Saccharomyces cerevisiae S288C: one gene and its partner. The protein of the gene in region 2 binds, or shares a complex with, the protein of the main gene of each other region. Each region holds a gene or a part of one and is shown on either strand. Other genes may lie near its edges. A codon is read from its position in the direction of its gene.

Evidence for each region. Proteins that work in one complex are often made in the same cells at the same time.
Region 1: the proteins of HTB2 (region 2) and KAP114 are in contact, whole or in part, in a cryo-EM structure (PDB 8F0X), measured with the Saccharomyces cerevisiae proteins. Residues at the interface, in NP_009553.1 of Saccharomyces cerevisiae: Ser43 (codon at 3,995), Tyr46 (codon at 4,004), Val48 (codon at 4,010), Lys50 (codon at 4,016), Gln51 (codon at 4,019), Ile58 (codon at 4,040), Ser59 (codon at 4,043), Gln60 (codon at 4,046), Lys61 (codon at 4,049), Leu84 (codon at 4,118), Tyr87 (codon at 4,127), Asn88 (codon at 4,130), Lys89 (codon at 4,133), Lys90 (codon at 4,136), Ser94 (codon at 4,148), Ala95 (codon at 4,151), Arg96 (codon at 4,154), Gln99 (codon at 4,163), Thr100 (codon at 4,166), Arg103 (codon at 4,175), Leu104 (codon at 4,178), Glu109 (codon at 4,193), Leu110 (codon at 4,196), Lys112 (codon at 4,202), His113 (codon at 4,205), Ser116 (codon at 4,214), Glu117 (codon at 4,217), Thr119 (codon at 4,223), Arg120 (codon at 4,226), Lys124 (codon at 4,238); in NP_011273.1 of Saccharomyces cerevisiae: Asp155 (codon at 3,053), Glu160 (codon at 3,038), Leu202 (codon at 2,912), Gln203 (codon at 2,909), Ser205 (codon at 2,903), Ser206 (codon at 2,900), His207 (codon at 2,897), Asn208 (codon at 2,894), Tyr210 (codon at 2,888), Gln768 (codon at 1,214), Ile770 (codon at 1,208), Ser771 (codon at 1,205), Glu773 (codon at 1,199), Phe817 (codon at 1,067), Glu818 (codon at 1,064), Val819 (codon at 1,061), Ile820 (codon at 1,058), Arg821 (codon at 1,055), Gly822 (codon at 1,052), Glu823 (codon at 1,049), Ile826 (codon at 1,040), Leu853 (codon at 959), Pro855 (codon at 953), Asp859 (codon at 941), Leu860 (codon at 938), Ile861 (codon at 935), Ile862 (codon at 932), Thr863 (codon at 929), Arg864 (codon at 926), Ala867 (codon at 917).

The regions. Positions count from the first base shown.
Region 1 is NC_001139.9:43,847-48,959, reverse strand, and holds KAP114 (karyopherin KAP114), read right to left. Parts: upstream 3,516-5,113; coding exon 501-3,515; downstream 1-500. Other genes in the region: anaphase promoting complex subunit DOC1, read right to left, coding at 1-347; ankyrin repeat-containing protein ANK1, read left to right, coding at 3,763-4,308; TAD1 (tRNA-specific adenosine deaminase), read right to left, coding at 4,451-5,113. UniProt on the Saccharomyces cerevisiae protein: Required for nuclear protein import and mediates docking of import substrate to distinct nucleoporins. Serves a receptor for nuclear localization signals. Mediates the nuclear import of TATA-binding protein (TBP) and of histones H2A and H2B.
Region 2 is NC_001134.8:232,624-239,290, forward strand, and holds HTB2 (histone H2B), read left to right. Parts: upstream 1-3,868; coding exon 3,869-4,264; downstream 4,265-6,667. Other genes in the region: UTP20 (Utp20p), read left to right, coding at 1-2,494; HTA2 (histone H2A), read right to left, coding at 2,771-3,169; ECM15 (Ecm15p), read right to left, coding at 4,530-4,844; alpha,alpha-trehalase NTH2, read right to left, coding at 6,318-6,667. UniProt on the Saccharomyces cerevisiae protein: Core component of nucleosome. Nucleosomes wrap and compact DNA into chromatin, limiting DNA accessibility to the cellular machineries which require DNA as a template.

The DNA.
Region 1 (5,113 bases), on a different chromosome or scaffold from region 2:
TCGCTCTGCCAAAACGTATCGTAGTTATCATCTAGAGCAAAGTCCACAGGATTCCCCAACTTAAAAGAAGAAGGCTTCCAAAGCGCTAAATGTGTCACGTTGATCATCCTTGCCGAATCCAATATTTCAATACCTTGGTGGAACATATGTTGCAAGTTCTCCGGTGTAGGATTCTGATACTGAATCTCTTCTTGGAACCCATTCACGTAGAGATCTTTGGTTGCCGCATCCACAATCCTGTCATCCAACACCAACACTGAAGGTTTATTATGGCAACTCTTAACAGGTTTGATAAGCTCTGAGGGTGCTAAATGGTCCAAGACTTTGTTTATTCCAATCGGGTCCATTATCTGACTTCTAAATCTCGTATTATTTTTGCCACCTTCTGTGGTCAGTTTATTTAACACTTTCTTTCTTTTATATAGACGGCGCTTATTTTGCCGCATTTTTTCTACTCTAACTACTTTACATCTGATATCTCCACGGCTTATGTATATAAGCTACAAAAGGGCTTCTGAAAGAACTTTACGTTCACTGTCGGATAGAGTCTCGTAAATACAATGGAAGCCACTCACATCTTTGCTTGCAACCTCTTTAAAGAATCTTACCAGTAGCTGAACAACAGATTCCTTCACGTCCATGAGTCCCGTTATATCGTCTGAATCGTCGTCTGCTTCTTCATCGACATCATCATCAATATATTCTTTCAACTTATCGTAATCGAGTACATCATCTACATCTTCCCAATCATCATTGTCGTCATCTTTATTAGCATTTACCACTTCTTGCTTAATATCGCTTGTGATCAATTGTTCTGGATTCGGTTGTTTACTTTGGAAGCTTAACTCAGAAACAAACAATTTAATGATCTTGGTATAAAGTGGAACTTGTACATACCTGTCTGGCATTTTCTTAGCCATTGATCTTGTAATGATCAGGTCCCCTTCGTATGGTATCAAGTTACCATTGACAACCACTTTCTGTAGCCTTTTGTCGTTCAGGAAGAAAAGGTTGCTCAAAGCAACGATATTTTCTTTGATTCTTTTTTCACCTCTAATGACTTCAAAGGCTTCTATCCATTTTCGCATCACCAATGTCAAAGCATCAGTATTGTCAATTTGGAAACTAGACAAAAAATCCACCGTTTGTTTAGGATCATTACACGTTAAGAAGCATAATACAGAAAGAAGGTTTTGCTCAGTAGAAATGTTTTGTGTCTTAATTAACCTTACCACAACGGCTTCCAAAATTCTTCCTATTAACGGTTGGATTTCCTTTGAAAACCTTGTGAATATGGCAACTACCAATGGACCGACGTTCATAGCGGCTGAATCCGATACCTCCAAAGACAGCAGCCTTTCTAGAACCTTCATGATATCCATTAACCTTGGCTCCATGGCTCGTGTATCTGTGTTGAAAATCAGGTAGCTGAATGCCTCCGTGGCTAACTGTAGGGTCTCATCTTCAGTAGAGAACGCTAATACTTTTGCTAATGGTTCAAATAGGTATTGATTTATTTCATCTGGTAAAAATCCATCGTTGGGTTTTTTCTTCAAAAAAACTGTGATGAATTCCAAGACTAATGATAGCAGGGGTGAGTATCTATAATTGTTTGCATTGTTGGAATCTAGCACATTAATAAATGATGGGAGACATAATTCAATGTAATTTTTGTAATTATCCATATTGATATTATCCAATAGTTTCTCCAAGCATTCTTGACTTTGTACAACGACCTGTACATTTGCTGGATCCTCGGATGAGATCGTGAACACAAGATGAAATTCAGCCTGTAAAATTTCCTTTCTTGAATGAGGTTCTTTCGGATTGTAGCTAATGACTTGACTTAATACTTCCATTAAAGCCCCATTAGTGTCCTCTTCGGCATCACTACTAACCTGGTTGATTATTCGAATTACTTTTTCCTGGGTTTCTGAGCAGACCTCTGGTCCAAGGACTGAATCTAGTTCGGCAAAATAACAATAGTACGTAAATGCTATTAATGTTGCGGATTTAATGAGCTCTTTATCAGATTTTAGCGCCAAATTAAGACTTTTTGCCAAGAATGCAGATGTCAAGGGTTTGATATCAGGTAATGCATCTATAAATTTGTCTAGTACTCTGGGAATAGTCAAAATTGCACGCGCCAATATTAATTCTGGTATTTCTTGTGATACTAAGATATTTTCTAACGTTTTTATTAAAATTTGCAAAGATTGATCGATATTTTCACCAGTTATCTCATCATCATTAAGCAAAATACACTGTAAGAGATATAGTAAAGATTCTAAAGTTGAATAATTACACGTGCTGTGTTCTATATCGTTGGAAACAACTTTGAAAATTAGGGAAAGTTGAGGATTGGGTAATGAAGTAAAAAATTCATTGGCTTGATCTCTAACATTATATGATGCTGCTAGGCCTGTTTCCTTCGATACAAATGTATTGAAATCGCTTGTCCATATCTCTCTTGTCTCAGAACTTAGCTGACAAAGAATGGTTAAAGATGTTATAATTTTGTTCATCTCTTCAACACTAAATTGCAAAGTGCAAACACTAGTCAAAAATTCTACAATATAAATAGAACAATCATGAACTGTTTCTAAAAGGGGTTCACTTTCAGTAGTTTCGACATTTGCATTTATATGGGTAACGTTTTCCAGATCTTGGATTGCCATTATTTTGAACTGTTTTTGTAATTCACTTGAGAAATGCTTTCTAGAGAAATCATTTTTAATAAAAACCAAATTCTCGTATATAATGGATTTAAATTTCAACTGAGAAATAACATCTACGTTTCCAAAATTCAAAGTCAACAATTGTCCCAATATCTGTAAAGAAGTAGCTAAACATTGGGAGACAAAACTTTTTCGTGACGCCTCATCATACTCATTATGGGAGCTCATTTGTAGAAGACATGCTTTAAGTAGCTTCAAAGCAGCAATTTTGGCTATCAAAGTAGAAGTTTCTGTATTGAGTACTTTGAAAACGATCTCCATTGTCGCCAAGCCAATTCCGCCTTCAAAGAACATTTCTTCAGATACGACATCATCGTAAATTTCATTCAATAAAGACATCGCATTTAATGAATGCTGATGAGAGATAGCATCATAAATAACTGTTAAAAGCTGCGGCCATTGATCAGGAAAATCAACCGCAGATATCTGAACAATACAGTAAGATGCACCATTTTTTATTTTGGTATTTTCATTGTCATTTAAGCATAATTTCAGTAGCACTTCTCGGATAAAATCTTTAACATCTATTTCGACGTTCGATGTAGAACGGTATGATTCAAATCCTGGACTCCAATACATGGTGATCAATTTTCTTAACGACAATAAAGCAAACTGTCTCGATTCTAGAGAAGCTTCGTGCTGTAAGGCAACGTTTGCCAGCGCTTTAAACACTTGAGATGCATCGGAATCACACCACTGTAACAATTGCGTTTCCGCAACTTCTCTAGTGTGTTTATCAGCTGATTGAGCACCTATTATCAATTCATTAATATCCATTTTAATGTGTTGATAGTGTTACAATTACGTTCAAGATTTTCGGATCGTGTATGCAGGTCATATACATCCATATGTATCTTTTTTTTTTTTTCCTAGTATACCCAAGGTATAACGCGTTGATAGAAAGGTTGACAATAAATTCATTATATAGGGGTCCTGTGAGGTAGTTTCTGAATCCCAGTGAAAAAAGTCATAAGTGAAAGAAGTCGAAGTTTTTCACAAAATAAATTAGTTTCTTTTTTTGATCATGAATACTGAAGGTGCTTCTTTAAGTGAACAATTGCTGGATGCAGCTAGAAGAAACAATCTGGATCTTTTGGAGACCGTATTTGATAGCTTAGATAATGATCCTGAGAAGATTGCAAAGCTAATTAACGAATCCAAAGAACCACTGGGGAATACAGCGTTACATTTATGTTGTAAGTATGGATCCTGGGAAGTTCTCGACAAGATTCTCGATCAAGACGGTGAAATCGAAATAGACCCACAAAACGACGTTGATGGCGACACTCCGTTACATGTTACTGTCAGATACAGTCAAGAGGAGCCTGAGCATGGAACTTTTATTGCTAGAAACTTAATTGAAGTGGGTGCGGATCCTAGGGTGAGAAACTATAACAATCAAAAGCCAGTTGATTTGGTTCATGGTGATGAACTGGATGAATTAATTGACCTTTTGCAGGGTGCCGAGTTAGCGATTGATAGTACCAATGGATCAGGTGATAACAATGAGGATGGGGAAATGATAGATGATGGTCCATCTGACGATGACGAAGAAGATGATAAAAAATGATAAAATATGTGATGATAATACCACAGAGAGGGAAAGATAGATGAACTCTGGATATATAGATATTTCTACTGTGTATATATTTCTTTAAGGTGCACTAACAAAAAAGTGTGCATATACGCATATTCAACAATATATATATATATTACTTCACATCATCCGTTCTGGTGGGTATCCAACCATCGGGAGATAAAATGTTCTTTATTGCGATAATTAACTGGCTTCTCTTTTTTTGACGAGATTTAAATTCCAAATAGCTTATTCCTTCATACTCTGGTCTTATTTTTTTGAATAGTTCCCATTGTGCAAACCGGCTTACTTGCGATTGACAGTGTTTCCTCAGTGGTTTCGATGATTTGGTATAAAATCCATTCCTCACGCCATTAAGAATCGCTTCTTCGGTGCTAAAGTCATCCATAAAGAGCTTGACACTACACATTAGACCAGGAACATCCTCCTCATCCAATTTATCATCATAAAATGGTTTGAGGCAATTCAGGAATTTAATTTCATTATCTAGATTCGGTAGACGAGTGTGAAATGATTGCTCTAGATGATGTTTCGTTTCATCTTCTAAATTAGGAATCACAATGTACTTTAAAAATACAGGTTTTTCAAAGAGTTCATAATTTAAACAATTCAGTACCGACGACCGTTGTTTCATTAATAATTTATCAGAACAGGATTTAGATAAAGTGATATTGGAATCATATCTTCCTGGTTTAGTCCTAACGACATTTCTTCTATTGAAATTCAAGCGTCCCCTCAATATTGTTTTCACACTACGGTCGACGTATTGAAATTCGTC
Region 2 (6,667 bases):
TATCTTGGGCGCTGAGTATCTTGTCTTTGTGATAAAGGAATTAATGGCTACATTAAAACGTGGTTCTCAAATTCATGTGTTAAGTTACACTGTCCACTACATATTAAAGAGTATGCACGGAGTCTTAAAACACTCCGATTTGGATACCTCGTCCAGTATGATTGTTAAGATTATAATGGAAAATATCTTTGGGTTCGCTGGTGAAGAAAAAGACTCTGAGAATTATCATACAAAAGTGAAAGAAATTAAGAGTAATAAAAGCTATGATGCTGGTGAAATTCTCGCCTCAAACATCAGCCTGACAGAATTTGGAACATTACTCTCTCCTGTGAAGGCTTTGTTGATGGTCAGAATTAATCTAAGAAATCAAAACAAACTGAGTGAATTATTGAGACGATATTTGTTGGGTTTAAATCATAATAGTGACTCTGAGTCAGAAAGTATCCTCAAGTTCTGCCATCAGCTTTTCCAGGAATCAGAAATGAGTAATTCCCCTCAAATACCAAAGAAAAAAGTGAAAGACCAAGTAGATGAAAAAGAAGACTTTTTCTTGGTAAATTTGGAGTCGAAATCTTATACCATCAACTCAAACAGTTTGCTTTTGAACAGCACTTTACAAAAATTTGCTTTAGACTTACTTAGGAACGTAATAACGAGACACCGCTCCTTTTTAACTGTCTCGCACCTAGAGGGTTTTATTCCATTTTTGAGAGATTCGTTACTTTCGGAAAATGAAGGTGTGGTAATTAGTACTTTACGTATCCTGATTACATTAATTAGGCTAGATTTTTCCGATGAATCTAGTGAAATCTTCAAAAACTGTGCGAGGAAGGTACTAAATATTATCAAGGTTTCTCCTTCAACTTCAAGCGAATTATGCCAAATGGGTTTAAAGTTTCTTTCTGCCTTTATACGTCACACAGATTCAACATTAAAGGATACTGCTTTGAGTTATGTTCTAGGGAGGGTCTTACCAGATTTAAATGAACCAAGCAGACAAGGCCTTGCTTTTAATTTCCTAAAAGCACTTGTTTCAAAACATATCATGCTTCCAGAACTCTATGACATTGCGGATACTACTAGGGAAATCATGGTCACAAACCACTCAAAAGAAATTAGGGATGTATCCAGGAGCGTTTACTACCAATTTTTAATGGAATATGACCAAAGTAAGGGTCGTTTAGAAAAGCAGTTCAAATTTATGGTCGACAATTTACAGTATCCTACCGAGTCCGGCCGTCAGTCCGTAATGGAATTGATCAATTTGATTATTACAAAGGCTAATCCTGCTTTACTATCCAAATTATCATCTTCCTTCTTTCTGGCGCTAGTTAATGTTTCTTTTAATGATGATGCGCCAAGATGCCGTGAGATGGCTTCAGTATTGATTTCCACCATGCTTCCAAAGCTTGAAAATAAGGACCTTGAAATTGTTGAAAAATATATAGCCGCTTGGCTAAAACAGGTTGATAATGCATCCTTTTTAAATCTTGGGTTGAGAACTTATAAGGTCTACTTGAAAAGTATTGGGTTTGAACATACTATTGAGCTAGACGAGCTTGCCATCAAGCGTATAAGGTACATTTTGAGCGATACGTCGGTAGGATCAGAACATCAGTGGGATTTGGTATACTCAGCTTTAAATACGTTCTCATCTTATATGGAAGCAACAGAGAGCGTTTATAAACATGGTTTCAAAGACATATGGGATGGTATTATCACATGTCTCTTGTATCCGCACTCATGGGTCCGTCAATCGGCGGCAAATCTTGTTCATCAACTCATAGCCAATAAGGATAAGCTGGAGATATCATTAACCAATCTGGAAATTCAAACCATTGCAACAAGAATTCTTCACCAATTAGGTGCGCCTTCTATTCCGGAGAATCTTGCGAACGTCTCAATAAAAACATTAGTTAATATCAGTATCCTATGGAAGGAGCAACGCACGCCGTTCATAATGGATGTATCAAAACAAACTGGAGAGGATCTAAAATATACTACCGCCATTGATTATATGGTAACTCGAATTGGTGGTATTATCAGGTCGGATGAACATCGTATGGATTCTTTTATGTCGAAGAAGGCGTGTATTCAGTTATTGGCCTTATTAGTTCAAGTTCTGGACGAAGACGAAGTAATTGCAGAAGGGGAAAAGATATTATTGCCGCTATATGGTTATTTAGAAACATATTACTCAAGAGCAGTTGATGAAGAACAGGAAGAACTACGCACTCTTTCAAACGAATGTTTAAAAATACTGGAAGACAAATTGCAAGTATCCGATTTTACAAAAATATACACTGCTGTCAAACAGACCGTATTAGAAAGAAGAAAGGAAAGGAGATCTAAAAGGGCAATTCTGGCTGTTAACGCTCCACAAATTTCTGCTGATAAAAAGTTGAGAAAGCATGCGAGATCGAGGGAAAAGAGAAAGCATGAAAAGGATGAAAATGGGTATTATCAAAGACGTAACAAAAGAAAGAGAGCCTAGCTGTAATATATCTTTATAACATGTATACTAATGAATAAAAAATCCAAGTTATAACGTCAAAGCTGTAGTACGTTAGCATTTCCGTAAGTAAAACCGTAAACTTGATACGTTTTTTATTTTCTTTATTAATAGTAATACTATACACTGTCTTTAATAAAACGACGCTATTTATAAAACTGTTAGATAAAAGACATACCAGTCTTCCTCATATGACCTACTTTAAAACCCCAAATGACAAGAATGTTTGATTTGCTTTGTTTCTTTTCAACTCAGTTCTTACAGTTCTTGAGAAGCTTTGGCAGTCTTGGCAGACTTCTTTGGCAACAAGTTTTGGTGAATGTTTGGCAAAACACCACCTTGGGCGATGGTAACATTACCCAATAGCTTGTTCAATTCATCATCATTTCTGATGGCCAATTGTAAATGTCTTGGAATAATTCTGGTTTTTTTGTTATCTCTAGCAGCATTACCAGCCAATTCTAAAATTTCAGCAGCCAAATATTCTAAGACAGCAGTTAGATAGACTGGAGCACCAGAACCAATTCTCTGGGCGTAGTTACCTCTTCTTAGCAATCTGTGCACTCTACCAACTGGGAATGTTAAACCAGCTTTAGCAGATCTAGATTGAGAAGCTTTAGCAGCTGAACCAGCTTTACCACCTTTACCACCGGACATTATATATTAAATTTGCTCTTGTTCTGTACTTTCCTAATTCTTATGTAAAAAGACAAGAATTTATGATACTATTTAATAACAAAAAACTACCTAAGAAAAGCATCATGCAGTCGAAATTGAAATCGAAAAGTAAAACTTTAACGGAACATGTTTGAAATTCTAAGAAAGCATACATCTTCATCCCTTATATATAGAGTTATGTTTGATATTAGTAGTCATGTTGTAATCTCTGGCCTAAGTATACGTAACGAAAATGGTAGCACGTCGCGTTTATGGCCCCCAGGTTAATGTGTTCTCTGAAATTCGCATCACTTTGAGAAATAATGGGAACACCTTACGCGTGAGCTGTGCCCACCGCTTCGCCTAATAAAGCGGTGTTCTCAAAATTTCTCCCCGTTTTCAGGATCACGAGCGCCATCTAGTTCTGGTAAAATCGCGCTTACAAGAACAAAGAAAAGAAACATCGCGTAATGCAACAGTGAGACACTTGCCGTCATATATAAGGTTTTGGATCAGTAACCGTTATTTGAGCATAACACAGGTTTTTAAATATATTATTATATATCATGGTATATGTGTAAAATTTTTTTGCTGACTGGTTTTGTTTATTTATTTAGCTTTTTAAAAATTTTACTTTCTTCTTGTTAATTTTTTCTGATTGCTCTATACTCAAACCAACAACAACTTACTCTACAACTAATGTCCTCTGCCGCCGAAAAGAAACCAGCTTCCAAAGCTCCAGCTGAAAAGAAGCCAGCTGCCAAGAAAACATCAACCTCCGTCGATGGTAAGAAGAGATCTAAGGTTAGAAAGGAGACCTATTCCTCTTATATTTACAAAGTTTTGAAGCAAACTCACCCAGACACTGGTATTTCCCAGAAGTCTATGTCTATTTTGAACTCTTTCGTTAACGATATCTTTGAAAGAATTGCTACTGAAGCTTCTAAATTGGCCGCTTATAACAAGAAATCCACTATTTCTGCTAGAGAAATCCAAACAGCCGTTAGATTGATCTTACCTGGTGAATTGGCTAAACATGCCGTCTCCGAAGGTACTAGGGCTGTTACCAAATACTCCTCCTCTACTCAAGCCTAAGTCACTCACTAGGTATTGTGATTTAGTCATGTTTTCTTTTTATTAGTGGCATTTTTTATATATTGTAACATTAGGGTTCTGTTACTTGTCCAGATATGATTGGAAGGGTCTAGTCTATCAGCCTCCGAAGGGAGTTGTATAAATGTATATATATAACTTTATAAACAAAAAAAATTGGGAAAGATATTTTGCAAACAGTTATTATTAAATTGTTTCTTAAACTCTCCTTAAAGATATACCCTATTTAGGTTCACTACACGAGCATTCATTGAGAAATTTTTTTTAAAACAACATCGATCTTATCTTGAGCAGTTTGGTGCTTATCAGTTCTAGTCCCAACACGAATATCAGTGTGTACTCTAACATATCCTTTCTCATGACCGTATTCATGGATTTCGCCAATCAAACCCATCACATCATCCCAAGGCCCTTCAATTGTTGTTCCTGCACTGTGTAAAGTGCTCTTTAATGGGCTTTCTCTGATTTTTTTTTCAATGAGTGCAACAAAATCAGAAATACTAGCAGAGTCGGTGCCAATAGGGACCATACACACGTCCGCTAAACAAAAGATCTTGGGCATTTTCTAAACTTGTAGTTTATGTGCTTTATAGTTAATGATCACGACGGCAATGACAAAAACTGAATATCTTGATCTCTCCTTTTGACGATGTCAGTGAATCCCGGTTAATGATATTCTGTTTTTCACGGGGTGGAAAAGAGGGGAGCTTGAATCATACTAAAAAAGGAATGTCAAAGAGCTATATAATTCGAATAAAAAGTAAAAGAAACGAAAGGTTTTATTAAAGGGTTTGGAGCTGTTTTCGGACTGAAAGCCAGTAACAAGCTTGTGTAGGAGTTTGTCTGAAAACCATCTTCATTTCAAATAAGAGAGCGAGTAATTTTTAAATAATTTCTTTTCTGAACTACTTAAATCGCTATGTACCTTGCGAAAATTATTCTTTAATAGTTTAACTAAAAGTAAAAAGTTAGAAATCATAAATAAAAAATCAAAGAGACAAATCTCGTTGCAAAAGCTTGAAAAATAGTGCTTTACCAACAGGTTGGCAAACCAGAATGCTAACAAAACTTAAAATCCCATTTCCCAAGAGGATCAATCAATCATATTTACCTTGATAGTATAGGATACAAGTGTCTGTGCAGGCCTCCGATAACATGTAAAGTAATAAAAGTAGGAGTACTTGCTTTCAGCAGAAAATGAAAAAAAGAACGTTCAAACAGACTGAAAATATAGCTATTCAACTGGCACCTACTAATATCAATAATAATAAATTAATCTTGAGCAAATTGATCCTACATAAATCATGTGACTTATTTATTTAATTATTATTAAGTAAAAAAGATTTTCTATTTAAATTTATTAATTAATTTTTTTTCTTAAATAATTATTTTATGTTTTTGTTTTCCGAAAAAGAAAAATATTTCAACAAGAAGTATCAATATATTTCTTGCAAAAAATTGTTCACCGAGAATTGACAAAAAAACCTTACGTCGGTGACGACGATATACAGATCCTATATTCTTCATGTATGTAATAGATTCCCATACCTTCTTCGCATTTAAGACACTAATAGAAATGAAAGCTTTCTATTAGTCATTCTTCCTATGCACTAGACCACGCAAAGGTGAACCGGCTTGGTACGAGAATTCTATCACACGGTAATGATAGTGTTCCCGATGTCAAGCAGTCTTATACAGTACTACCCAAGAGCTTAAGAATAAGCAAGAAGATCTGGCAAGCTACAAGGTACTCATAACGATCTTCAAAGCGTAAGTTATGATCTTATGAAAATCAGACTTTTTTGTCTCAACAAACTCCTAGTTTGAAGATGTTACTGAAATGCCCTTCAAACACTTTTACTTGAAAATCATCGATTACTATTCTAACCTTCACAAATGAGCCTTTACACAACTTGATTAATAATAATATTTGACCTTACTCTAAATCGTCTCAAATATTACTGAGGCACAATCTCATGGTTATTGATAGAAAGAAGAATATAACATATATCTTATTTACATATGTTCGTCAATATTATAGGTAATACAATTTTTTCTCAGAGGGTTTCAAACTATTGAAAAATGGCAATGGTGGACTACAAGCAGCGAGAGCCCTTCTTGCATGATTATTCATATATTTCAATCCGAGCAAATAACTTGTGTTCACCCAACCAAAGCCTTCTGTAGCGACGCCCTTAAAATCAGCACCTTGATTACCATATTCCGCATCAACGCGATGCGGATCAGTCCCTCTTGTCACATCATATTTTTCTACCACCATTCCGTTATAATCAACAAATGATTTTGTAATCATGTACAGCCACCTATAAGCCAATCTTGTAGCTACTTGTTGATAACCATATGCAGATAAACCTTTCCAGGCTA